Linked DNA regions of Nothobranchius furzeri. The protein of the gene in region 7 interacts with the protein of the main gene of each other region in a pairwise test. Links are inferred from orthologs where the notes say so. Each region holds a gene or a part of one and is shown on either strand. Other genes may lie near its edges. The genes, in order: copb1, cwf19l2, protein FAM107B, pnkp, protein FAM124B, mcm10 and trim37.

The links.
Region 1: the proteins of trim37 (region 7) and copb1 interact in binary tests that used the Homo sapiens proteins (3 or more experiments, as listed by UniProt). The two-hybrid records come from large-scale screens. The link is inferred for Nothobranchius furzeri from reciprocal best matches to the Homo sapiens genes TRIM37 and COPB1.
Region 2: the proteins of trim37 (region 7) and cwf19l2 interact in binary tests that used the Homo sapiens proteins (3 or more experiments, as listed by UniProt). The two-hybrid records come from large-scale screens. The link is inferred for Nothobranchius furzeri from reciprocal best matches to the Homo sapiens genes TRIM37 and CWF19L2.
Region 3: the proteins of trim37 (region 7) and protein FAM107B interact in binary tests that used the Homo sapiens proteins (3 or more experiments, as listed by UniProt). The two-hybrid records come from large-scale screens. The link is inferred for Nothobranchius furzeri from reciprocal best matches to the Homo sapiens genes TRIM37 and FAM107A.
Region 4: the proteins of trim37 (region 7) and pnkp interact in binary tests that used the Homo sapiens proteins (3 or more experiments, as listed by UniProt). The two-hybrid records come from large-scale screens. The link is inferred for Nothobranchius furzeri from reciprocal best matches to the Homo sapiens genes TRIM37 and PNKP.
Region 5: the proteins of trim37 (region 7) and protein FAM124B interact in a two-hybrid assay, tested with the Homo sapiens proteins (2 studies listed by BioGRID and IntAct). The link is inferred for Nothobranchius furzeri from reciprocal best matches to the Homo sapiens genes TRIM37 and FAM124B.
Region 6: the proteins of trim37 (region 7) and mcm10 interact in a two-hybrid assay, tested with the Homo sapiens proteins (2 studies listed by BioGRID and IntAct). The link is inferred for Nothobranchius furzeri from reciprocal best matches to the Homo sapiens genes TRIM37 and MCM10.

Annotation. Positions count from the first base shown.
Region 1 is NC_091749.1:61,877,254-61,880,753, reverse strand, and holds part of copb1 (coatomer subunit beta), read left to right. Parts: coding exon 1-12; intron 13-97; coding exon 98-243; intron 244-3,500. UniProt on the Homo sapiens protein: The coatomer is a cytosolic protein complex that binds to dilysine motifs and reversibly associates with Golgi non-clathrin-coated vesicles, which further mediate biosynthetic protein transport from the ER, via the Golgi up to the trans Golgi network.
Region 2 is NC_091753.1:35,494,906-35,498,405, reverse strand, and holds part of cwf19l2 (CWF19-like protein 2), read left to right. Parts: intron 1-1,432; coding exon 1,433-1,538; intron 1,539-3,500.
Region 3 is NC_091743.1:77,097,330-77,100,829, reverse strand, and holds part of protein FAM107B, read left to right. Parts: intron 1-474; coding exon 475-673; intron 674-2,253; coding exon 2,254-2,413; intron 2,414-3,500. UniProt on the Homo sapiens protein: Stress-inducible actin-binding protein that plays a role in synaptic and cognitive functions by modulating actin filamentous (F-actin) dynamics. Mediates polymerization of globular actin to F-actin. Also binds to, stabilizes and bundles F-actin.
Region 4 is NC_091753.1:66,391,843-66,395,984, reverse strand, and holds the start of pnkp (bifunctional polynucleotide phosphatase/kinase), read left to right. Parts: upstream 1-1,342; 5' UTR 1,343-3,334; exon of another isoform or gene 3,335-3,400; 5' UTR 3,401-3,406; coding exon 3,407-3,524; intron 3,525-3,728; exon of another isoform or gene 3,729-3,993; intron 3,994-3,998; exon of another isoform or gene 3,999-4,142. UniProt on the Homo sapiens protein: Plays a key role in the repair of DNA damage, functioning as part of both the non-homologous end-joining (NHEJ) and base excision repair (BER) pathways.
Region 5 is NC_091753.1:33,488,154-33,492,442, forward strand, and holds the start of protein FAM124B, read right to left. Parts: upstream 2,801-4,289; 5' UTR 2,621-2,800; coding exon 2,550-2,620; intron 2,163-2,549; coding exon 2,131-2,162; intron 1,769-2,130; coding exon 1,571-1,768; intron 1,431-1,570; coding exon 1,038-1,430; intron 713-1,037; coding exon 516-712; intron 411-515; coding exon 257-410; intron 116-256; coding exon 1-115.
Region 6 is NC_091741.1:61,273,881-61,276,582, reverse strand, and holds part of mcm10 (protein MCM10 homolog), read right to left. Parts: intron 1,191-2,702; coding exon 1,023-1,190; intron 377-1,022; coding exon 260-376; intron 172-259; coding exon 1-171. UniProt on the Homo sapiens protein: Acts as a replication initiation factor that brings together the MCM2-7 helicase and the DNA polymerase alpha/primase complex in order to initiate DNA replication. Additionally, plays a role in preventing DNA damage during replication.
Region 7 is NC_091750.1:52,480,721-52,484,824, forward strand, and holds the start of trim37 (E3 ubiquitin-protein ligase TRIM37), read right to left. Parts: upstream 2,801-4,104; 5' UTR 2,625-2,800; intron 1,594-2,624; 5' UTR 1,551-1,593; coding exon 1,530-1,550; intron 1,383-1,529; coding exon 1,281-1,382; intron 972-1,280; coding exon 931-971; intron 436-930; coding exon 319-435; intron 215-318; coding exon 127-214; intron 1-126. UniProt on the Homo sapiens protein: E3 ubiquitin-protein ligase required to prevent centriole reduplication. Probably acts by ubiquitinating positive regulators of centriole reduplication.

The DNA.
Region 1 (3,500 bases), on a different chromosome or scaffold from region 7:
TTGGCAACATCGGTAATATAGTTATTAATTTGTCTTATCAGCATAATTCAAATCATTTTATTTATATTTTTGTAATCAAATTGATTTCTTCCTCTAGTCTATGACGTGTCTGGAGCTGCTAGCGACAGGAACTGTGTTGTCCTCAGCGACATCCACATTGACATCATGGACTACATCCAGCCAGCCTCCTGCACAGACGCCGAATTCAGACAGATGTGGGCAGAGTTTGAGTGGGAAAACAAGGTCACTTTAGCTTTTCAATTTTGCTACAAATCATCCATCTTGCTTCAAAACAGCGCCCTTTCATGAATTTTTTTTTTTTTTTTTTTTTTTTTAAGAAATCCGTAAAGGTGATCGTCTTTCGTCGTTCTGTGATCTAAAGTAGTTCTTCTTTTTCTGGCTAAGCCCACCCTCCGTCCCACAGAGGCTCATGCAAATTCAATCAAGTGGCGCTCAGCGTTAGCTGTTAGCGTTGGACATCTGCTTATGCACTGATGTCACTGCGTGTGCACACGTTTCCTCGAGTATCTAGACTGATGCAGAGTCTGTAAGTCTTAAGTGTGTGTGCCACTGGCTACTTTATAGGGTACTGCAACAAGTATATCAGTAATTGTGTGACTACGTGATCCATCAGGACCAGATGTAAATCAGATCAGAAGTTAGGATCAGCTCACATGAGTAAGTGACAGAGGCAGGATGAGATGAGGATGTTGGTACCAGTATGGAGTATAATATAACAAATAATAACAATTCATACAACAAATATCAAGGAATGACCATTTGCAGATATCAAACTACATTCATATCAATTATCAATAGAATTCCATTAATCTTGTAGCACATGGTTGACGGCAACTTAAAACTCCAGCAGACTCAAGGACCAATGAAATTGATCCTAAAGAGTGAGTCCAGTGTCCTTGAGGGGGAGGGGGGGGGGGATTGTGAAGGAAGTGATTGGGGTAATCGCGGCCCGCTGTTTAATGACGGTGGCTACAGGAGCCTCCTACCAGCCCAACAGTGATGGAAAGGGTCCGATTCAAACCTCCTGGCTTGATTCAGGGCTTCTAGGCTTGCGGCCTAAAGTCTAGTGGGTAGCTCGCCATTCAAAGAGAAAAGACCTGGTCTGAAAGAACAGGACCAGGTGGTAAAGAGGTCATAGTGCACTAACATATCATCATCATCATCCAAATGAGCTCAGAATTGTTCCATATATTGTACAATACGTCATCCAAAAATAAAACATAAAAATTGTGCAACTCTCAGTTATTATCACATTGGATTGATTAAATGTACCCAAATAAGTCATTCAGATAACAATGAGTTCATCATTAACATCCAAAGCACAATCAAAGAGCATTTAAAGTGTATTAATATTTTAAAGTGAGAGTCGAGGTGTGGGTGGAGATGTATTTCATCCACTATTTCATCCACACTTCCTGTTAGGAAAACACTTCTGAAAGAGGCGTCGCCTGGCAGACCAAGAAAGCGGCACTGAGGCAGTGGTAGACCCCCCACCCCCACGTGTGCTGTCATAGTTTACAAGTCTAAGAACGATTTGTTAACGAGCGTGTGGACGCAAGCACATACTCACACAAGACTTACTGCTCAGGAGAAAAGCAGACACAGATTCTGCAGCATTCTGGAGGATTTCCTGTTAAACGCGATCATTAGATGAAAAGGGGAGGAGGGCATTTTTTTCAAGGAGGCGAGCGGCTCTGAGGGCTAATGTGTCATATCGGCAGGTGGGTGGCTGAGCCAGGTGGAGGTGCGGCTGCCTCACCTGGAGACCAGTGCAGTGCAGCCACGTAGTCATTTGCCGACAACATCACGTTTTTCGGCATAGTCATCAACCACAGCTGATTCTACATAAATGTGGAGCAGAGTTTTAACCTGAAGATGGAGATAGAATTATGGTTTGGGGCTGAAATGTTCAATTTAAAGTAAGTTGCACTAAACTGCCACACTAATGATTACACTGTACAGCGCCATTAGACACTTGTCTATACAGGTTATCAGCAAAAAAGTTAATTTAGGCATTACCGTACTTGCACTTTAAATAGCACCGTACATAATAACTCACTACAGAATAAACACATATTTTTTGCCATGATACTCAGTTTAACAACTAGAAAATCAACCACACTCAACACACAATTAAAAAAGTATTTGCCTTTAGTTACTTAAGAGGTTTTAGGGAAATCACAATAACACAGGCTAATCAGCCAAAATGCATCAGTACTGAAAGTTTAAGCTAATCAATTCAAATTCAAAAATACTTTATTAATCCCTGAGGGAAATTCAACTGTTTCAGTACACAATTCCAAGATCAGACATACATACATAGACACATGACAAGAATTGGTGACTGTGCTCATTTGCAACACGAGTCGCGCTACCGTTATAGATCAAGAGGGTTTATATCATCATCATCATCACCTTTATTTATAAAAGCACTTTACAGACATATATTATGTCACCAAGGTGCTGAACAAGACTAAACTGAAAAAGATAAAAACAAAGAATATATAGGAAACCAAATAAAAAAATAAAAAACAGCAAAATACAAAACATCAGTTAACACACAGATTTTAAAGCCAGATTATAATAATGGGTCTTCAGCGCCTTCTTAAAAACCTCTACTGATGTGGAGAGTCGCCCAGATAATGGAAGATCATTCCATAATTTCGGGCCTGCTACCGAAAATGCCCTGTCTCCACTTGTTTTGAGCCTAGTTGCAGGGACTAGAAGCATATGGTGACTCTCTGAGCGGAGCGAACGACTAGGTATATATGGCTGTAACAAGTCAGATAAATATTCTGGTGCCATCCCATTCAATGCCTTAAAAACCAATAAAAGAATTTTAAAACACACTCTAAAAGCGACCGGTAACCAGTGCAGATCTGCCAGGGTGGGTGTCACATTATGAGGATAGTCAGGGGGAGGGGAAAAAAGGCACTTCAGAGTTACCCCCGACAGAGAGGATAGCTTTGCTATGCAAAAAAAAAAACCACCTCAGACAGATATGCACACAGACTTTGGACGATACACAATGTTATAAGCCATCTTCCCAAGCTAGCCTAACTCTTCAACAGATGTTACGTCTCAGGGTTGACTTGCATTTCTATTTGCGTGGGCGTGACACCAGCCACTCTTTAAAATGCCCTCACTCTTGTAGGAGCTGATTAGCAATCACTGCTAACCTAGATTCTGATTCTGGCAAAACCAACTTTATGCAGCTCAAGGGAGACTCAGTTTACTCACAATCCATGTCCATGAAGCTTATGTACACTTCAGGTTAAGACTCTTGCCAGCTGTTCCTTTTATGCTGCGGAGACAACTGACTTTACCTGTAGCCTAGGATGGAGGAAACACATATCAGTTACACCTTGGGATGGCATTTACAACCAGCATCTCACCTTTGCTCGGTTACCGACAGGAAGAGACCCCACTCATAAATCCTTTTTTCATTCCTTGAATTCGAGGAACTAGGTTTTATTTCA
Region 2 (3,500 bases), on a different chromosome or scaffold from region 7:
TGTAGTTTGTAGCACTCATTATAATGTTGTAGAAAATTTCTGGCCAATCCACGTGATCGGTATCGGTGATCAGCATTCTTTGATATCGGTATCGTGATTGGCAGCAAAAAACCTGATCGGTGCATCCCTAGTCACGAGACAGCAAAACAATGTGATCATTTGTCAGTTGTAAGATGGCTTCAGGTTCACCCAAAGTCCAAACTCCCCGACGGGCGGCTTTCACTTCCTGAGATGTCTCTTCAGTTGGTCTTCTTCTGTCCCTCATCCTGTGCTGCTTGCTTTCAGTTGGACCACTCCTCTTTATCACCTGCCTGATTCCACTCACATCAGTAGGCTCTCGCTTATCTTTGCTTTCCTTGTGACCTCTTTTATTACCTCCATTGTTTCTGGCGTGCGAGAGCTTGCAACACTACAGTAAGTAGCCTGTGCTTTCATGAACTGTGCTGGCTGAGCTGTTGGAGGCCAGATGTCAGAGGATCTCTGCTCTGCAAAGCCTTCATTGTTTTGCCCCATTAGGCTAAGTTGTTTGGGTGAAGTGGCAGTCGGAGCCCCTGCAGCATGAAATGAGTCTACAGTGTGGGAGCAGATGGAAATGATGCTATGAGAAGTGTAATAGCCTAGAACGATGCTCTTCAGGCTGCAGCGTTGTTCCTCCCAGACAAGGTGGTAACCGTCGCCGGAGGGCCTCTTAGCAGATCAACAGTCAGCAAACGGCTACATGATGAAACTCACACCTTTAGGAAAGGGTTTCTTTTCGGGGAGGGGGGTTACAGAGAGGAGAAATACACAGACATATATAAATCCACTGTTTTAATTTTCACATTCTGAAAATAGTAAATGGTCTGTATTTGACATAGAGCCTTCTAGTGTTTTCTAGAAAAAAAACACCAAAAGAAAAGTTTTTTGTTTACAATAACAGTTTTGTCCTATTTGTCTATTAACTCATTCACTGCCAGTGACGACTAACGTCGTCATTTTAGATCCAACCGTTTACTGCCAATGACGACTAAAGTCGTCATTGGCATTTTTTAACTGTTTGGGCATCGGAACAAGCCCCCGCGCTGAGAGAACAAACATCTTAGCTCTGAAGCCGATCTTCATCCGCATACGTCACACATCACATGTCACACGACACATGATCAGGAAGCAGAACATCCATGTGTTAGGAGATCGTTTTGGGCCGTTCCTGTAAAAAAAAGTGAGACGCGAACCAGAAAAGCGTATGCCGATCACAGTTCAGCAATGGATTATGAAAGAACGGATAACGCTCGAAACACAATGATTCTTCCTGATGTAAGAGGCAAATATCCACTTTGTATTGGTTGTTTTGGTGTCGACATCATCTTAGAGCGCAACGTTCTGTGACTCTTAAAAAAAACAGTAAAAATGGTGAGAAATGCTGGCAGCGAATGAGTTAAATGTTTTTACCCAGGACTGAGAGTGAAAGTGAGGAGGAGGAGGATTTGCTGTTGCTGTCTGAGGAAGAGATGAACAAACTAGGGTCCAAGCTGATAAAGGCAGAGATGATGGGCAACACGGTAAGTTTATGATGTTTTACTGGCCCAGATTTTAGGTTTGACAAACTCTGTTCTGGTCTTTGGTTGGGTTCAAAAAGGTGCTTCCTTCTGTTTTAGCATTTTTCAGACGGATCTGCAGCTGGCATGTCCAAAGTGTAGCTCTCAGATGTTCCAGGAAATTAAAACCATTTTTAAGACATGAAAGTTTACGTCTAATTGAAAATGTTTTATTTATCACCTTTTCTTAGCCCAGTAAACTTGGAATGCTTCATTGGAACCTCCACAGACCCTAGCAGCATTCCAGCTGGCCAATCACAGCTCTCTACGGGGGTTTCAAATTGGGAGAGCACTGTGATTGGTCCACAACACTGTATCGGCTTTGTGGGCCAATTAAAGCTTTCTATTGGCATTGTGGGCCAATCAGGGCCCTCTATTTGTCTGGTGGGTGTGAATGTGCGACGGATTGAAACAAGATGGCGACAGCTTGTTTGAAACGGCTTTTACATCAGTTTGGACTATTAGGTCTTGGGCTTTATTAGAATCAGGACCAGAGAGATATATTTCAGTCCTTTTTCAAGAAAAAGGGTGTATTTTCACCTTCTTCAACAGCAGACCGCCACGTTTAGACATCCGTTGCGGTGAGTACGTCACGTTGTTCATTGTCCAGTAGCATGCAGAGGTCGTTTGAAAGACAACAGTAGAACACGCCCCACGACCGAGATCCGTCAATGGAGCGTTGCTAAGCTAAGCTTTTCTCCCTTTATTTTAACTTTCCAGCAAATGGGACAACAAACCCTCACTGTGAGACTTATTCATATGTTTTGACTAAATACAACAAACATTACTGAAGAGTGACCCAGGTCATTTTCTTGTAGCTGATGAGAGATTAAAATTGATATTTAGGACAAAAAAACAAACAAACCAGAAAACCATCAATCTGTTAAATCTTATTAAGATAAAGGTATGGCACTCTTTTCATGCCTCCCATCACAAAATAACTGTTTGTTTTATGAAATTATTGCATATTTAATGTATCGTTGAGCAGATAAGTATCTTCAACTTGTTGATTTTGGTCTATGATTTTTAAAGTTGTGACTCTAGCTCACACTGATGACTAAAATGTGCTTTTATAGTGTTAGCAGCTCGGATGAACGCATCAGAGGAGTGGTGAGAGACAAACAAACAAAAATACTAATGTCTTAATAAAACTCCTGCATTTTCCATGAGTGGTTCCTTATTCTAAGTTTAAAATCTTAGTTTGAGGATATATTTTATATCTTTTTTAAGCAGATGTTAAAAGGGATAGTAGCCAGTTTTGCTTTCTTTTACCACCCCTTAGTGCTCATTATTAAATTACTGTGGTTAAACCGAAAAGGAAACTTATCTCCTTGCTGTGCATTCGTCTTTGTAGCACCATGATCTAACAGCTGAAACGTCTCCTCAGCCTTCATTAGTGTCTACAGGAGTGATTCATCACTAAATTAAACAAATCAGCTGGGTTCATGACCTAAAACGTAGGAAACTTGCTGGAAGCAGACTGCAGCGTTAGGCGTGTCTAGGGATGGGTACCTTTGACATTTGAATCGATCCGGTACTAATTACCGGTACCTACGAATCGATACCGGTACTTAACGGTACCAATTTTCGATACTTTTGAGTGTTTATTATTTTAATTCTCTTTTATAATTAAATATATATTTTTCTCAATATATAACAATATTTGATAAATATCACGATAAATAACATATAACTGTTTGTATTTTAACATTGCCCTTGTAGTTTTATAAGCTGATAATTAAACTGAAGCAAACATCTTTACTGTGAACTAAATTTACTGTGTCTTCATTCCTTTTGCCATCTTTTTTCATTTGATTTTTCCTACTGGGAAGTTAGAATTTCCGAGGAGGAAGCGAACGCACCATTAGCTGATAACAATGGTGGCAATGGAAGCTAACATATCAAGCTAACGATATCTTAAACAGT
Region 3 (3,500 bases), on a different chromosome or scaffold from region 7:
TGCTCTGACCAGAACCTTTACAGAACTAAACTGAACCAGATCTGCTCTCCTCTGACACCACCGTTGGACACCGCCTTAGACTCTGTGGACTCTTGTGAGACAAACAGCTGATTTGATTTTTCTGAAATATGAAGCAGGCGTTCACATTGATCTCTGGTTTCAGACAGAGAAAGGTCTCAATGAGGACATCTGATCTGTGTCTCCCAGAATATCTTAGGGTGAGGATCAGGTGATTGATAATCAGTTCCCTGTCTTCTGAGACAGTGGAGGACATTGAAAAGGACAAAGACAGAATGAGGAACTCAGGGCAAGCAAGGACAGACCAGCGTCTTAATTTGAACTAAGCTTAAAAACTGTCTTTTGTCCTCCATAGGCTGCTGTACCACAGAGGACCTTCTGTGAGACATTTTACAGGACAGCACATCTCATTGTTTTTAACACTGCCCTTATTTTTTGTGTCCTCTATGTCTTCAGCCTCTGCATATGCTGACCTGCAGCAGTGCCACTCTGAAGGCGTACACAGAAGGCCGTCCCCTGTGTCCAGCTACGTCCCCCCACCTGACTACCTGGACGAAGACGAAGACCTGATCAAACCCAAGAAGCTGGTGAATCCCGTCAAAGCTTCCAGGAGTCACCAGGAGCTCCACCGAGAGCTGCTGAGCAGCTGCAGACGGTAACGTGTTGTTGTCCTCACCTTTCTTAGACATAAGCACATCTGTGGAAAGGTTGAAATTCTTTTCAGGACATTCTGTTCTGGAAACCGTTTTCTGACATTATGAGATGTTTTTGACAACAAAGACAGTAGTCCCATATTCTAGCTGAACTTTTGCTGATAACTCGTCCATTTTCAGCTGCTTATCCAGAGTCAGGTCGTAGGGACAGCAGCCTAAGGTGAGAGGCCCAGACTTCCCTCCCCCCAGCCACTTGGGCCAGCTCCTCCGGGGAAACCCCAATGTGTTCCCTGACCAGATGAGAGACATAGTCCTTCCAGGGTGTCTTGGGTCTTCCCTTGGGTCTCCTCCCAGTTGAACGTGCCTGCAAACCCTCACCATGGAGGTATTCAGAAGGCATCCTGACTCGATGCCCGAGCCACCTCAACTGGCTCCTCTCGATGTGGAGGAGCAGCGGGTCTACCCTGAGCCCCTCCCGAATGACCGAGCTTCTCACCCTATCTCTAAGGGAGAGCCCAGCCACCCTGTGGTGAAAACTAATTTCGGCCGCTTGTATCTGCGATCTCGTTCTTTCAGTCACTACCCAAAGCTCATGACCATAGGTGAGGGTAGGAACGTAGATCGACCAGTAAATCGAGAACTTCGCCTTCTGGCTCACCTCTCTCTTCACCACGACAGACCGGTACAACACCCGCATCACTGCAGACGCAGCACCAATCCGCCTATCGATCTCACGCTCCATCTTTCCCTCACTCGTGACCAAGACCCCGAGATACTTAAACTCTTCAACTTGGGGTCAGACCTCATCCCTGACCTGGAGAAGGCATTCTACCCTTTTCCGAATCAAGACCGTGGTCTCAGATTTAGAGGAGCTGATTCTCATCCCAGCTGCTTCACACTGGTTGGGATGATAAACTTAACTTTTGCTGATAACATAAATCAGAAGTTTGTTCTTCTCCTTCTGGGTTCTTAACTGGGCTCAGACCAGAACCAGGGTCAGAACCAAAGCACACGCGAGCCCCCACAGCTGCTGATTGGTGCAGATTATCCTCCCCCTGACTAATGCTGACCAGTCAGGGATCACATGAAGACAGTTAGTATTTTTCTGTCCTCTTCATGGAGTCCAGGCTGTTTATTTGTGAGGAGACATGTCTATGTTGCTAAGCGACAGCCTCAGAGGCCTCCACCACCGCCGAGGATGATGGGAAAGTTTTCGCCTCCTCACAGAGGCTTATTCACAGACACACAAAGCCCACTGCACTCTTCCTCGCTGTTTTGTTCAGCAGGAAACAAAGATCACAGCAAGAAAAACATCCTCCACAACTTTATTCTGAACACGCTGCAGATTCACACGGAGCAGCCAGAAAAGAATCAGTCATCAGACCAACGAGCACAAACCCCTGGCTCACTGATCTCTAATCACAGAGACCCACAGAAAGGATTCAACAACCTGATTTTATCTTAGAGCTAGAACTTTAGTGATGCTGTGACAAGATGCCCACTGCTAGTTCAAACTCACACACAGATGTGCTCAAACATAAATATACAACATACATGACACATGATGTGTGTGTTTGTGCAGAGGAGGAACCAGTGTGGAGACAAAACCAGAGCTGCAGAGAGTTCTGGAGTCCAGGAAGAGGGATCAGCTGATCCGACAGAGGAAACAGGAAGAAGAGGCTCGCAAGAAGATTTCCCCTCTGGAGGCTGAGCTGCTGAAGAGGCACACAAAGCTGCTGGAGGTGGGAAACACGGCAACAACACGCTAACAATACACCAACAACATGCCAGCAACACACCAACAACACACCAGCAACACACCAACAACATGCCAGCAACATGTCAGCTACACGCCAACAACACACCAGCAACACGCCAACAACATGCCAACAACACTCCAGCAACATGCATACAACTCACCAACAACTCACCATAAACACGCCAACAACACACCGAAAACACACCAGCAGCATGCCAGCGACATGTCAGCTACACGCAAACAACACACCAACAACATGACAACAACAAACCAACACCAAAAACATGCCAACAACACACAACAACACGCCAACAACATGCTAACAACACACCAGCAACACACCAACAACACATTAGCAACACGCCAACAAGATGCCAGAAACATGTCAGCTACACGCCAACAACACATCAACAACATGCCAACAGCACACCAGCAACATGCCAACAACACGTCAACAACATGCCAGCAACACGTCAGCTACACGCCAACAACACACCAAAAACATGACAACAACATGCCAGCAACACGTCATCTACACGCCAACAACACACCAACAACACGCCAACAACATGCCAACAACACACCAGCAACATGCCAACAACATGCCAACAACACACCAGCAACATGCCAACAACACACCAGCAACATGCCAGCAACACACCAACAACATGTCAGCAACATGCCAGCAACATGTCATCTACACGCCAACAACACACCAACAACACGCCAACAACATGCCAATAACACGCCAACAACAAGTCAGCTACACACCAGCAACACACCAACAACATGCCAGCAACACACCAACAACATGCCAGCAACACACCAACAACACACAAGCAACACGCCAACAACACGCCAGCAACACACAGCAACACGCCAACAACATACCAACAACACAACAGCAACACGCCAACAACATACCAACAACACACCAGCAACACGCCAACAACATACCAACAACACACCAGCAACACGCCAACAACACGCCAGCAACACGCCAATGACACGCCAACAACATGCCAACAACATACCAACAACATGCCAACAACATACCAACAACACACCAG
Region 4 (4,142 bases), on a different chromosome or scaffold from region 7:
AAAAGGATCAGAAGGATTATCTATATGTAGATTAAAATCACCGGCTAAAATGATCCTTTCAAAGCAGTTGTGCAGGATTGATAAAAACTCTGAAAATTCTTGAATAAAAATGGCACTCTGCTTAGGAGGCCGATAAACTGTGACACATACAACCTGAGGAGGGCTAAAAACTGCTGCTGTATATTCAAAAGTGGTAAAATTATCAAACAGGTTTGGCAGAAAGTATTGATGAACTAATAAAAGCAGTACCGCCTTCCCTTTTGCTACTCCTCGTTGAACAATAAAAATTAAAATCTGGCGGAGAGGCCTCTGTGAGAACAACAGGTGCATCTGAACTCAGCCATGTTTCTGTTAAAAGCAGACAGTGAAGATTACGATCTAAAATCAGGTCATTTATTAAAAACGTTTTGTTCAGCAGGGAGCGAACATTTAATATAGCCATATTAATAGTAACTGGTGAAGGAGTGACTGTATTAACTGAGGGTGGGACTTTTGGTAACTGTTTTATTATTGGGGATGCTTTTGTTTGGTCCGAATCCGTTAAAACGGGTCAAACTCGTTGGCCCAGTTCTGGTCCCACTCAGCAGACTCACTGGCACTACTCCTCCCACTGTGTCCGGTGATGTTCCTGTGGCCTCTCCATGCATGCACCATTGTTCTGCCCGAGCTGTTCCTCCAGCTTCTTCCTGAAGCTGTTTTTTGCCTGTCTGATCTTATATTTAAGCTCCTTCTGGACTTGTCTACTCTTCTTTGTCACCAGCCATAAAAGCTTGTTCTCATCATTGGGACAGTGTTCTCTTCACAGAAGTTTACATAATCAGTCACACAGTGGGTCAGTGTGATGGCCACATCCATGTCCACACAACAGTGAACGTTAGTACACTCATGCACTTTTATGATTTCAGTTTGTACGTTTATTTCTTTGGATTTATTGTTTAGACGGCTTAAACGCATTAGTTCTGATTGTAAGCGTGCATATTTAGTTAACTGCTGTATTTTATGCCTGTCATTTGTTCAATTTAAGTAAATTTATGTTTTCTCTTACCGGTGCTGAGAGGTTCTCCACTTCCTGCTTCCTGAGATGGGACAGGCAAACAGTGTTGAAGGGGTTCCGTCAGCTAAATACAGGAGGAGCTGATGGGGCCAAACCAATAGCTCCATGAAGAGGGGACTGAAGGATTTCCTTTAGTTTATTATTTTGTCATTTGTTAATTAATTTAAAGGGTCTTTACGGAGTTTTGAATTTTTATGCTCGCGATTGCCCCCTCAGGCCAAAAGCGTAACGGCAGCTTCAATAGTAGGCTCGTGCACGAGGCGCACATGCTGTACGTGCACACCCCTTGACGAAAATAACAGCTGAGACAGTCCCTTGTTGTGTGTGTGTGTGTGTGTGTGTGTGTGTGTGTGTGTGTGTGGCCCGGAGGACAGGACAGGAGAACATGCAGCTATAATTTGGTTCTGTACCTTTTCTCTTCAGCACCAGTGTTGGGCAAGTTACTTCAAAACAGTAATGCATTATTTATTACTTGTTACCCTCATTTTAAAGTAATTCATTACATTACAATATTACTGATTTTAAAATGTAAGGCATTACACTACTTTTGCATTACTTTAAGTTACTTTCACCAAAACAACTTCAATATGAATCTGGTAATGTGACGCTCAGTGAGCTCATGACACATCCGATGGAAAGTGATGTGGTGTCTGAGCTAGGGTTGCTGTTAAAAACAGTCAGATATAATAACAGTGCTTTAAATGATTGTTTTCATGAAATAAAAGCAACAACAATCTGTACTCTCAGCACGCTGCCATCTTAGAATAACTGAGCAGGGAGAGAGGTGGTGGGGGCTCCACGCCTATATTTGCCTTGGTCCCCAAATGCCTTGATATGGCCCTGGATGTGGGACTGACTTGTGGGGTGATCTGATTCTGTCACATGTATAAATATTAAATGCTTATATATTATTGCTTTTCACTGGTAAAAATGTGTATTGGGGATAAATCTACCTATTTTTTTTCTTTTCAAGCACTTTGTTTTGTTTTCTTGATTTTATTTGAATAATTTTTGGCCCTTTCTCTCTCTAACTTCCCTGCATGCTGCATGTTTTCTCCGTCTTCCAGAAAAAACTGTTTCCTAGACTTCCTACTTTCTAACTATCAGCCAAAGGGATCTTCACATGCGCAGCGCTCCAGCAGTAATGAGCTGAAATCACCGGGGCCCAGATTAACTCAGATGAGGCAAAGCACGTCAGAAAAGCACAAAATATCAGAGAATATGCGCTGATATGAACGATCGCAAGTGAATTATTTTGTTTTAGTGGAGCGATTTTGTGAACGTTGCAGTGGCCACGTGCAGGACGCAGCTGGAGTAGTTGAGCCGTTACCGCGGCGTCCTCTCTGCCCGCAAAGCTGAGTCCATAAATGACGTAATATATACTGGATCTTTCTTCGGGTTTCCCGCAATTTGAATTTTTAAGGAACACATCTTGATTCTGGGTTTAAAAATGCATTGTAATTACCACGTTACTGACAATTGTACCGAGTAAATATTACCATTTTCTTTCCCTGTAATGCCTTACATTACCACATTACAGCAAAAAGCAATGCATTACAGTAATTAATTACTTTTGTACCGCATTACTCCCAACACTGTGTACCATGAAACCACTTCACAGTACTAGGAGTCCATTAAAACCTATAAAGAGAGTGATCCTGGAAGAAATGGGGCACACACTAGTGACCTCAACAATTGCAAGACCTTTTCCCCGATGCTCAGATGGGGAAAAAAAGGAACTTTCATGAAGACATTAGGACTTTATCACCGTTGAACAAAAATAATAGTGCATAATAATCAATGTTGATGTTAATCAATTAGATGTTCTAGACTCTACTTAATAATACAGCAGTCCCTCGTTTATCACAGGAGTTACGTTCTAAAAATAACCCGCCGTAGGTGAAATCCATGAAGTAGCCAACTTTATTTTTTACAATTATTGTAGATGTTAAGACTGTAAAACACCTCACTACATGGTTTATACACTTTTTTCAGACGGGCACACTTCTTAATGCTCTCTGATCGCTATGGTAATGCGTAAATAGTTCTTTCAAAATAAGACACACAACTACAACCATACATTTCACACAGGAGCCTTTTATTTCTCAGCAGCAACAATAGTAACAAAATCGCTATTTAGTTTTCGCTGTCAAAGTCGATTTAACTAAAGTTACGTGTTTCTGGTTACTGTGGAGGTCACGTGTTTCCGGCTACTGTGGAGGTCACGTGTTTCCGGTTACTGTGGCTTTCCACAGCGGCTGCAGCCAGATGCTTCTTGAGGTAAACACACGCTTCGCGCGAGCGTAAACGCGTGTAATAATTACCTTCTCTGTTGCATAAAACCAGTGAAAGATGTGCTCGCTGCTTGGCGCCTCTGGAACTCGGTTTCCTCTGGAGGACGGAAGAGCCGTGATTCTGGGCCGGGGTCCGGACACTGGAGTCACCGATAAGAGATGCTCCAGGCACCAGGGTGAGTGAAGACCGCATATCGGCTGTTCTCATGGATCCCTGGTTCAGCGGTGTGAGCGCTTGTACTTGTTCTTACTTCCTACTGAGGAACATCATGAGGTTTTAACCAACAGAAAAGCTTACCAGTTGGTTTTAGGTGTGTGTGTGTGTGTCGCGGTTGAAGGAAATAAACGATATATAAAAACGTACACCATCTGTAACTTACCAGAATGAAAATACTACAGAAGGTGACGTTTGGTCGCCTTACAGCTGCGATCCAACAAGACTTTGTTGAAGAAAAATGGGAGGTGTCCACCACCGCCATTTTGACCGTGTCACAGGTTCCCTCAAGCCCAGACAATTCCATAAAAGGGAAGAGAGGAAGAGCTGAGGGTGGGGCTGTAAGGCTGGGATCAACTGACGACACCCGGTCGAACTAGCTACAAGCAAAGCTAATGCGGAGGTGGGAGCTAAGCTAACGGAGGTAGCAACCTAGCTACAACCGGAGTTAACTGTGCACGACACCAGAGCTTCTGAGTCAGAGATACGCCGGGCTGACCGCTGGGTACAACCGGGTGGAACACAGAGGTTTCCCGAGAGCTCCACAAGCCGGCAGCCGCACAGCAGACAAGCGCCGCTG
Region 5 (4,289 bases), on a different chromosome or scaffold from region 7:
CTGCGCTGAGATGAGTAGCAGGAGCTTCCAGGAGGAGTGCTGCAGCAGCTCCCTGATCCCAGGCTCTCTGCTCCAGAAAGCTTCTCTAGGACCGGATCGCTGCGGGGCCGGTTTCCTGGAAACAACCCAACAGAATCACGACAGGGTCAGGAGATGAGCACATAAAACTCTCCTGGATCTATAGAAAAGTCTCCTAAGGTCTAAGTTTACATGAATAAAATTGAATTTGGAAGTTCAAATTGTTCTGAAACTGTACCTTGTCTGTATCGTTGCCAGGACGGTGGGGTTGTGGATGACGAGCTGTAGGCCTGTCCAGAGCTCCGGAGCTGCATCCCTCTAGGGGACACGCTCAGATAGGTCAGGGGAAACGCACAGGTCAGAGGTCGCTGAGGTTGAGGCGCGGTTTTCACCTGCAGCACAGGATTATGATTATGTGACAAACTACAAAATCACATCGAAACTGCTAAAAAAAATTGCTTAAATAAACAGTAAAACACAATTTAAATTGGTCTGACCTGAAAGAGAACCTTGTTACCGTCCAGGTCTTCCGTCTGCCAGCGTGTGGTGCTGATGGGGCTGCAGGGGTTGGGCAGCAGTGGCACTAGTTGTCCAATTTCTTCCACGCTGAACTGCAGAGCAGCGGAGCTGCACGATTCCACACAAACTCCAGGAGATAGCTGCTTCAGAGCCAGCTGGAGGCACAGCCCTGGCTCTGTGTGCAGAACCGCAAAGAGATAAACAGGCAAAAGTGGAACAATTACTAATGAAACTGCAATTACTCAGAAATCATGAAAACGTGACAAATAAGAACTAAATTTTCTGAATTAAGTGTCTGCTTCTTTTAATGTTTGCCAATTTTTTCCCAAAACACTTTGGAACTAAAAGTTGAGCTTTTCCTTATGAAAGATTGCAAAAACAACAAGAACCTTTTCCTGACAGCTTTTATTTGTGTGTGACTACTAGCATAAACATCCAGAACAACAACAACCTCTTCTGCCCATGAAAAGAACAAGTCCATGTCCACCCGAGGGTTCTACCTGTGTGGACGGTGAACCAGCAGAATCCCGTCTTCTGCTCCTCCGCCCGCCGCTGCAGCACCGTCTCATACAGCCTTACAGCATCCTCGTAGTTGTCATAGTTACTGTACAGCGTCACACGCAGTATTTCTCCTCCACAGTGCACAGGCCGTACCCCCCACACAGGCATGCCTGCACCCAGGCTGTAGAAGTCCCTGCTGGGTAGGAGATAGGGCCGCAGACGGGGGTTGGACGAACTGCTAGACGTAATGTGGATCCCTGCAGCTCGGCTGCCACAGCTCTCGGTGTGATGGTACTGCCAGGGTGGCCGCTGAAAGAAGTCCAGCACTTTTAGGATTCGCTCCTCTCCGTAAGCCTCGTGGAGGAAGAAGGTGATGGCTAAAGAAGGGTATCCTGGGAAATTTTAAAGAACGGTTCGATGTGAGCTAATGATGAACAACAGCAGACTACAAGTCATTAAATTAAACTAAACATTCTCAGCAAGGCCTATAGAAAAGAAGTGGTGGCATCTACAGCATGTTGAAGATTCAGACCTGCCACAGGACAGAGGTGCACGGGAGCTCTGAAAGGAGAGGCTCTTTCTGACACATGGAAGATGCGCAGGCTTGGGCACAGCCAGCGCAGCAGGCGGTCCAGGGTCTGCTGCAGCAGCAGAGATTCTCCAGGGTTGGCAAGTAGGTGCAGGTTCATCAACAGGAGTTGCTGCCTTGTCTGCCTGGTCACCAGCTCCACTGAAGTTACACACAAACACATAATTCATATAAAATAAAGATACACAGTACACATATGCCTACGATCACTCCATGCCCATGTCTCATAAAAGTAAACATTTTCAAGGAATTTAAGCACCAGTAAGAAGTCAGTTTAGGCTTAGCTGTAAAACTTTTCAGCATGTTTTAAACATATTTTAGTTTAAATACTCACAATATTTCTGGACCTAAATGAGACACAATGTGTTAAGTATATTTAGAAACAACTGAGATAATATTAGTATCGGTATAGTGGAGCATAAATCTGCTACCCATCCCTACTCTCAGGTTAAAATCTTCCATCTGTGACACGCTTTAGTTTTTTATGAGCTCAGAAAACTCACTACCAGACGATGACATCCTGCTGCAGCCAGATCTGGAAAAAATACACGAAATAAAAAACATTTTAGGAATAACTCGTGAGGAAAAGACAAAAATCTGTCTCCATCTTGTGGCGGTTGCTTTGGAAACCTGCCCGTCGCTGCTTTGGTCACCATGACAACACTTTATCTGTTGTTAGCTACCACGAACTAAAAAAATGTTATTTTACAATAACAAAATCACGATAAGACGTGGAAAAGACACAAAACAATGAGGTTTGAATGTCTAAAAACGTTTAGTAACAAGTTACGGAGCTGGCTTCAATTATTACATCCGTCACTGGGAGTTTAATCTGAGCTAAATTCATTTCCATTGTTGTTGCTGATGAGGAGCAGAAGCTATCGTTAGCCTGTAGCTAACTCGGAGGCAACAGTTGACTCACTCGGCTGTTTCTGCCCCGGAGTCCACGTTTTCATTGTCGGCTGACCGCAAAGCCGCCACTCTCCGCCACATCGTCCGGTGTTCTGTCCCGGTACACACACTCACATTTGGTCCTGTGCACGGGGAAGAGAGTTTGAGCAGGTTTTGTAACAGTCCGGAGTGTCAAGCATCCTGCTGGATTTGTTTCCACAGACTGGCAGAGGGGAAGGGAAGAAGAAGTACTGGGATCTTACTGGGACAGTGACGTCACCAGGGAGCTAAACACCATCCTGATAACAATGTCTAACAGAAACTCAGTGCTTCTTGTTCGGGTCGGAAAATAAAAGACTGGCGTTTGCTTACAGAGCGTAAATTACAGGGCGAAAGGGAGCAGAAGTGGAGCAAAGCAAAGCAAAGCCGGTGTTCTGACGATCCGCGCTTCCTCGGTTGAATATTCCTTCCGCAGCGTGTTATGACAGTTTTGCCCTTGTTTACAGTTCAGTAACACACTTATTAAGCAGTTTATTTTAAATAGGTGATATTACTCAAAAATACAGAACTGTAGTGTAATTATTAGCAAAAATATACAGTGTTTGTTGTGGTTTATTTATTAAAATGACTGTGTTTGTCATAATTCTGTGAATGAAGGTCAACAATGGGGGAAATGTATTGTTTACAATAGTATAATAACGATTTACATGCCCTTCACAAGCTAACTGTCAGGTAAACATAGCAGTAATGTAACAACTTCCAGAGTTAGCGTCTCTTCAGGTAAACAGCCTGTGACGTAGTAATCGGTCTGCACATGCGCATTTACCCACAGCGGCTCATATCGACGAGTAGCATGGATATGGATAGTCAGAACACCCGGCTGTGATGACCGAGCAGATGGCAGGAGACAAAGGAGACAGGGCAGACGGCTGGGCAGATTTAAATGAGCAGGGAATGTGTCTAGATCCTGGAAACCAAATGCAGCGCTTTGAGTACTTGATATTAATCTCTGCTATGTGTTGTGACAACAATTCATAATAGACAACACTGTTGTCTATTATGTTTCCTGTTTTGCTTGCCCCATCGGTATTACATTTACATGGAAAACACACACACACACACACACACACACACACACACACACACACACACACACACACACACACACACACACACACACACACACACACACACACACACACACACACACACACACACACACACACACACACACAAGAAAGGCACTCATGTCACGTGTCATGGCTGCACAGGAATAGGCCCTGGCAGGGTAGAACATAAATGGAACGCCACAACTAAGTTGCTGGCATCATGTGCAAGAACATCTGTGCAGAGTTGGTGGTAGAGCGAAAGAAAGCCAGGCTCCTGTGGGACTTTCAGATCCAGACAGACAAATATTAGGGTTAGGAGGAAGGAGAATGAGCAGTAGAAGTACAGCAAGAAATTTAATTCAAAAAGTTTAAAGAGTCCCATAGTAGAAAGACTTCCTCTAAATACTACAAATATTGTATTGTTGCCTTGAAAATATTGGGAATTTGCGCTCTCTGCTGGCAAAACGTAGAACAACTGTATGAAAATGGTGTCCTCCAGAGTCATAAAGATGTTACTGCACCTGCGTTCTTTTTAGCCTTTTAGAAGAGAATAGGTTTGCCTCTTTAGTTTAATGGTATCTTAAAAAACATTAATCTGTTTGTCCTCTTGGGAATATTATTATTGTGGAGGAAGAATGGAAGAAGGAACTGGATTTATAAAG
Region 6 (2,702 bases), on a different chromosome or scaffold from region 7:
GGACACGCCGCCGTAGTAAAAACCATCCTGACACAGGCGCTCTTTGAGCCCCCCCCTCCCCTTCACCCTGTTGGGGGGTTTTCCAGAGTATGACGACTGCAGCTCTGCTCTCTTGGAGCTCATCTTCTTATACTGGGCTCTGACATGATACTGGCAGTACTGGCATTCGTACTGCAGAAACGTCCAAATGGAAAAAAAACATGTGATGAAAGAATAAAGAAAGAAGTGTAGCAGAGCCTGGAGGAGAGCAGGGACCCACCATGTTAACAATCTGAGAGCACGGCTCTCCATTCTTCTTCACAGCCTTACAGGTCCCAAAGTCCTGAGCTTCACCCATAACCAGCACCTTCTGGGAGTGGTCCACCGTCAAACTCACCTGTGAGGAAACACAAGCTGTTGTTTTAGGGAGGGAGAATCAACTTGCAGCATTCACAAGACTTTCGACCTTCATCCCTGCTTTGCCAAAGGTTGAATCTGGTTAAAGAGTTGTTTAAGAGCTCGAGTCGCTGTTTTAAGACTGATAGTGATAATTTTAGACTGATTGTCTAACAGCAAAGTAGAGATGACTGAATTGTTTGTTAAACTAAAGACATCAACAAGCCACTGCTGCACCATTATCCTACAGACAACAGCCCAGTGTCTAAACCTTAAAGGTTGTGTTTTACTCTTCATTTATCCAGCTTACAATAAGTAAAGATCCATCTTTTTACGGTTTCCTGCTCTGATAGAAAACCACAGGCCCACCCCAGTGCATGCTGCAGTGAATTTCCCTAAAGAAGTGGCTGTACAGCTCTTCCTGGCTGACTTATGAAGCCAAACAAAAACAAACAAAAATGTAATAATTACATAATAAACTACAAAATGCAAATAAAGGTGTTCTTGTTCTCCAGCCTGGATCCTCAAATCAGACTATGGTTCGGCTGGATGTCTGATTGCAACTTAAGTGATGAAAACAACTATTTATTAAATATTTACTAAACTACACCTCCTACAGCTCCTAAAAGGTGAGAGGACACACTCACCCCGTCGTATCCATCTCTTTGCTTCATGGAGTTGGGGTTTAGGAGTCCTATGACCGTGCCTAGCTCCATCTTCCAGTGCTCCTTGTGAACGTCACCAAACAGGAACAGAGACACAAAGACCTCCAGGTTGTGGAGGTCGCTGAGTTTCCATATGCTGAAGGTTTTGCCCTGCAAAGATGTTAGCGGAGTCAAACAGGAACAGAAGCCCTCAGTGCAGAACGCATGAAGCATCTCTGGAAAATTTTGACTCACATATTTCCTGTTAGTGAAAATGACTTTTTATTAAGAAGGGTGTGAACAGGGCTGTGGTTCTAAAGGTTATTACCAGTGTTTCCTCCATCCCCCCAAACAGGACCACATAGTCCCTACTGCTCAGGTCTAGTCCTGGTCCCATTAAACGGGTCTTGTCCTGGTCCTATAGAACGGGTCTAGTCCTGGTCCTATAGAACGGGTCTAGTCCTGGTCCTATAGAACGGGTCTTGTCCTGGTCCTATAGAACGGGTCTTGTCCTGGTCCTATAGAACGGGTCTAGTCCTGGTCCTATAGATCAGGTCTAGTCCTGGTCCTATAGAACTGGTCTTGTCCTGGTCCTATAGAACGGGTCTTGTCCTGGTCCTATAGAACGGGTCTTGTCCTGGTCCTATAGAACGGGTCTAGTCCTGGTCCTATAGATCAGGTCTAGTCATGGTCCTATAGATCAGGTCTAGTCATGGTCCTATAGAATGGGTCTTGTCCTGGTTCTATAGAACGGGTCTAGTCCTGGTCCTATAGAACGGGTCTTGTCCTGGTCCTATAGAACGGGTCTAGTCCTGGTCCTATAGAACGGGTCTAGTCCTGGTCCTATAGATCAGGTCTAGTCCTGGTCCTATAGAACGGGTCTTGTCCTGGTCCTATAGAACGGGTCTAGTCCTGGTCCTATAGAACGGGTCTAGTCCTGGTCCTATAGATCAGGTCTAGTCATGGTCCTATAGAACGGGTCTTGTCCTGGTCCTATAGAACGGGTCTTGTCCTGGTCCTATAGAACGGGTCTTGTCCTGGTCCTAGAGAACGGGTCTTGTCCTGGTCCTATAGAACGGGTCTTGTCCTGGTCCTATAGATCAGGTCTAGTCATGGTCCTATAGATCAGGTCTAGTCATGGTCCTATAGATCAGGTCTAGTCATGGTCCTATAGAACGGGTCTTGTCCTGGTCCTATAGAACGGGTCTTGTCCTGGTCCTATAGAACAGGTCTTGTCCTGGTCCTATAGAACGGGTCTTGTCCTGGTCCTATAGATCAGGTCTAGTCATGGTCCTATAGATCAGGTCTAGTCATGGTCCTATAGATCAGGTCTAGTCATGGTCCTATAGATCAGGTCTAGTCATGGTCCTATAGATTAGGTCTAGTCATGGTCCTATAGATTAGGTCTAGTCATGGTCCTATAGATCAGGTCTAGTCATGGTCCTATAGATTAGGTCTAGTCATGGTCCTATAGAACGGGTCTTGTCCTGGTCCTATAGAACGGGTCTTGTCCTGGTCCTATAGAACGGGTCTAGTCCTGGTCCTATAGAACGGGTCTAGTCATGGTCCTGGTTTGAATGTATATTTATGTTCTTAAACATCAGCCTAGTTAAACTTTGTGCTGAATAACTGATCAGGTTTCGAAATGTTTGGTATTAATGATCCAGATTAGCATTTAAATAA
Region 7 (4,104 bases):
CTAATGCTGTTTTAGCTACTGTTACAATTTGTAACTTACAAAAACCAGTTAGGAATCACTGGAGCCTTAGCTTGGATCATTTCTGTACTGTACTGTATTTTAAAAACCAAATGTGTGAAACATTACCATTCCTCCCCAGAGAGCACACTGGTGGCAGATGCATTTCTTACAGGTCCAACAGAAAACACTCAGCTTCTCATGGTGGTTTTCGCATCTACAGAGCAATAGAACCATAACCATATGACACAGTAAACACAGGAGTGGGGAGCAGAAAAGAAACCAAGTTGGTTATTCTTTTCGTTTGGGGGAGCTGCTCACTTGTCCTTATCGTTGTCCTCATGTTTGGTGAGACTGCAGAGCTGCAAGGTATCCAGCTGCTGGGTGACCTCCTCTGCCCAGCGACAGTTCACCAGCTCCCTGAGCTGCAGCGGGGCTCTGTGTGCACAACACACCCATATTTCATCATGAGCTGCACACCTTACAAATCAGCTGGCAGTATGGGATGAACATGGAAATAGTCCAGATGCTGTAAGATGTCCTAAAAGCTGAATAACAAATATTTAAATGTGTTTCTGAAGCTACAGGAAGCTGTTCCATAGTTATTATATACTTCTGAGTCCCAACACTATGGAAACAGTTTTGTGAATGGATTTCTTAATGGTCTCCCACTGTGAATTTATTGTTGTTGTTGTTTTTTTTCTAATTCAATGTATTACTGAAAGGTCAAAAGTAAGTCTCTCTGAAACTTCTTTAGTTAGTGAAAAAAAAAACAAGATGTAAAACCAAAGGGGTTCAGATAAAGGCAACTGGGCTTCATCAGAAAGCAGTCCAGTTGCCTTCATCTGAACCCCTTTGGATTACCATGACCTGGATGACTGATAACTTTCACCAACAAGATGTAAAGAAGGCAGAAAAATCTTTGGCTCTCACCGACAGTGTGGACACTGGGCTCTCTGCTCCGTCAGCCACCGCTGTCAAACAAGAAGTTACAGCTCAAACAAAGGGTGTAAAGACAACTAGAGCAGCTAGTTTGCTACTAAAAGGGATTATCTGAAATAATTTTCTAAATAGAACTACATACTAATGTCATTCCTCCTATTTTCCCCCAACAAACTACTTCCAACTTTAATTTAAACCCCTCAAAACAAGCTGAAACCTTATCTACTCAACAACAAACAGAGATGCACATTTACACACATAATTAAAGAATATATTTGCAGCTAATAGCAGAATACATAATCTGTCATTCATTATTGCCTTTTCTGTGTTGTTCCACTCACTCGTATGCAGCTGAAACAACAAAGTTTGGAGCAATGTGGGCACAGCCGAGCATCCCTCAGTTTTTCCATGCAGATGAAGCAGCGAAACACCTCAGCGATGCTCTGCAAACAGGCAGAAGGAGACTTTTAATACCAAATACAGCAGCAGAAAATAAAACAACTTGACTAAACAGTGTGTGTGACTGTGCTCAATAGTTGTTGGAAATAGATTTAATCATACAGCTTTCATGCCGAATGTGTTATACACACCTCAACACTTTGTTCATCCATTTCAGCCAGTTTGAGGTTCTTGGTGATGAATAAAACAAGTAGTCTGAAAGAAAAGTATATGAATTTAATTCTCAAAATTATGAGCTTGGTTAAACTCAGTTTTTGTTCCATAATAATTGGTAGTCATTAGTGTTTATTCTGATTTTGATAACAGGTTAAATCACTCAGTAGCAAAAAATGTAAAAGGTTTAAACCAATCTGGTTTTAATTCACACAACTGATGGATATGTTTGTTACATTTAAAGAGAATTTATTATCGGTCACAGATTTTAGAAATATTGTCCATTTGTTGTTCAACTGGACAAGAAGATCAACCAAGAAACAACTGATGCAACCAGCTCAAAACTCAGAAATTGCTCATCATCAAAACACTTCTTAAAATACTGTAGTGTGTACACTCTGGATACAAAAATGATGTGAAAATAATCGACTTCAAACTGAAGAAATAATTACTAAAACAAAAGTGGTGGTCTTTGACAGCTACAGGATGAGGCCCTGAAATCTGTCCCTGAAGCTTCCAGCTCCACCAAATTCCCCCCTTAAATCTGTGACCCCAAAGTGTTTCGTGATATTAACTGAATGGCACACTGAGTAGGAAGTATAACAAGTCCATCCCTGTGTCATATTAGGACATCCACGTCAACACGTCAGACTAAAACATACATAAAATATCTATAGACCAAGTTAGCTGCAATAATAGAATATAATCTACGCAAAGTGCAGTAAATAGATAGCAGGGACATAGTAATGTTTATGAAAGTTAAAACACCAAATTAACAGAGTTTTTGCAATGCACAAATGTTTAAAAACTACAGGTTCTGCTTCCCAGAAGCTGTTATCATTTCTTGGTGATAGCAGATTGTAGGTAGCCATCAAGAGGCCCAGAGTCAGCTGCAAACACAAGAACGAATAACTTACCAGAAAACAAGCCCGTCACTGCTCTAAATAACAACTACTCATACAATTAAACACAAGGCAAAATTTGATCAAATGATGAGCAAAAAAAAAAAAAAAAAAGCTACATTGGTACCCAGAGCTAGCTAGCTGGCTGCCTTTTAGCAGCGGTTTTCTCACCTTTCGAGGACTCGGCTTCGTCTGTTACACCTGATCAACAAACGGTCTGAGGAGGCTACATCGTGTTACATGACACCTCCCCCAGTTTATAAAAAAAACATATAACTAAAATAAACAGCGTTAAGAATCTTGTTTTGGGTCAGCTTCGATTAAATAGGCCACTTTATGTTCCAAACTGAAGATGTAGCGGTTAATCTGAGGCAGTTTGTCCCCCAGCAACAACCAATCACATTTCTCCGTTTCTTTTTTCTTCTTCTTCTTTGGTTTCGATGAGTCACCCAGTGTTATCATTGCCCCCTTTTGGTGTGGATCCTTTACTACAGTCCCATTGCCTTCAACGATTCAGGATTATTCTTTTATCTCCTAACAGATCTTCTGTTCTAATTAAAAAATAATATCTATGCATTTTTATACTTTCTACATAAGATCAATACATTTTTTAAGTAAAATTTTTATTATATTGCTTAAAATGGTCAATGAAATTCTGAAATATCATGGAAATTGTGTTTTATTGATGAGAGGTAGCTATTTTTAACTTAAAACATACACCAAAATATTACTAAATCATAATATCACTGAGAAAAAAACTAACCATACAAGTCTATATGATTTATGAAACATGAAATCAGCCAGAATTCAGCAACCGTGGGACATTTTACTGCTGCCTACTGACAGAATCACAGAGGCAGTCTGGGACAAAGCAGATGGCATGCTGATCAGATGACAAAACTACAAAATTTCTCATAAAAATTAAATGAAACAAACTAATCTTAGTAAATCTATGTGATCTTGTATCTGGCAGCCTTCTGAATAAGTTTACACATAAAACACACATCAAAGACACATTTTTCTGTCTTATAAATCTAATCTTTAGCTGATTTTATCAGTCAAAGAATCACTCGTCTTATTTGACTACCAGAAAGAAAAAAGTTTACCTTAGCTTGCATTCTCATTTGAATTTAAAGCCTTTCACCATATTTATTCCATAAACACTTCTGCACATGTCTGCAGGGGTCAGTTACTCATTAAAGCCAAGGTCTGATATGATTATCAGACTTGTGTCTAAATTATTCGAGGTCTTTCTTTATTTTCATTTGCATTTACTCATAACCGTTTTAACCATGCACTTTGCATTTCAGTTAATGAAAATGACAGAACACTGATATTTAACTTTAAATTCTGAAAGAAAAAAAATGCTTTTGAAATATAAAAGACACTAACTACATAAAACACGAACTGGAATAAACAGGAAACTTTTTTTATTTAAGGTAAAAGTCCTTGAAAAGTCAGCACCTGTGATGTTAACAAGACACATTAGTACTCACCAAAATAACATATTTGTTTCTGAAAAAGTATATTTTCCTTCAGCTAAAATGCACTTGCACATGTGTTATAAACAGAAAATGCACAATTAAATAACTAAATTGATCAGTTTAAGTGACAAAGTCCCATTCTAAAAGCCAATGTAGTTCAGCCAAAC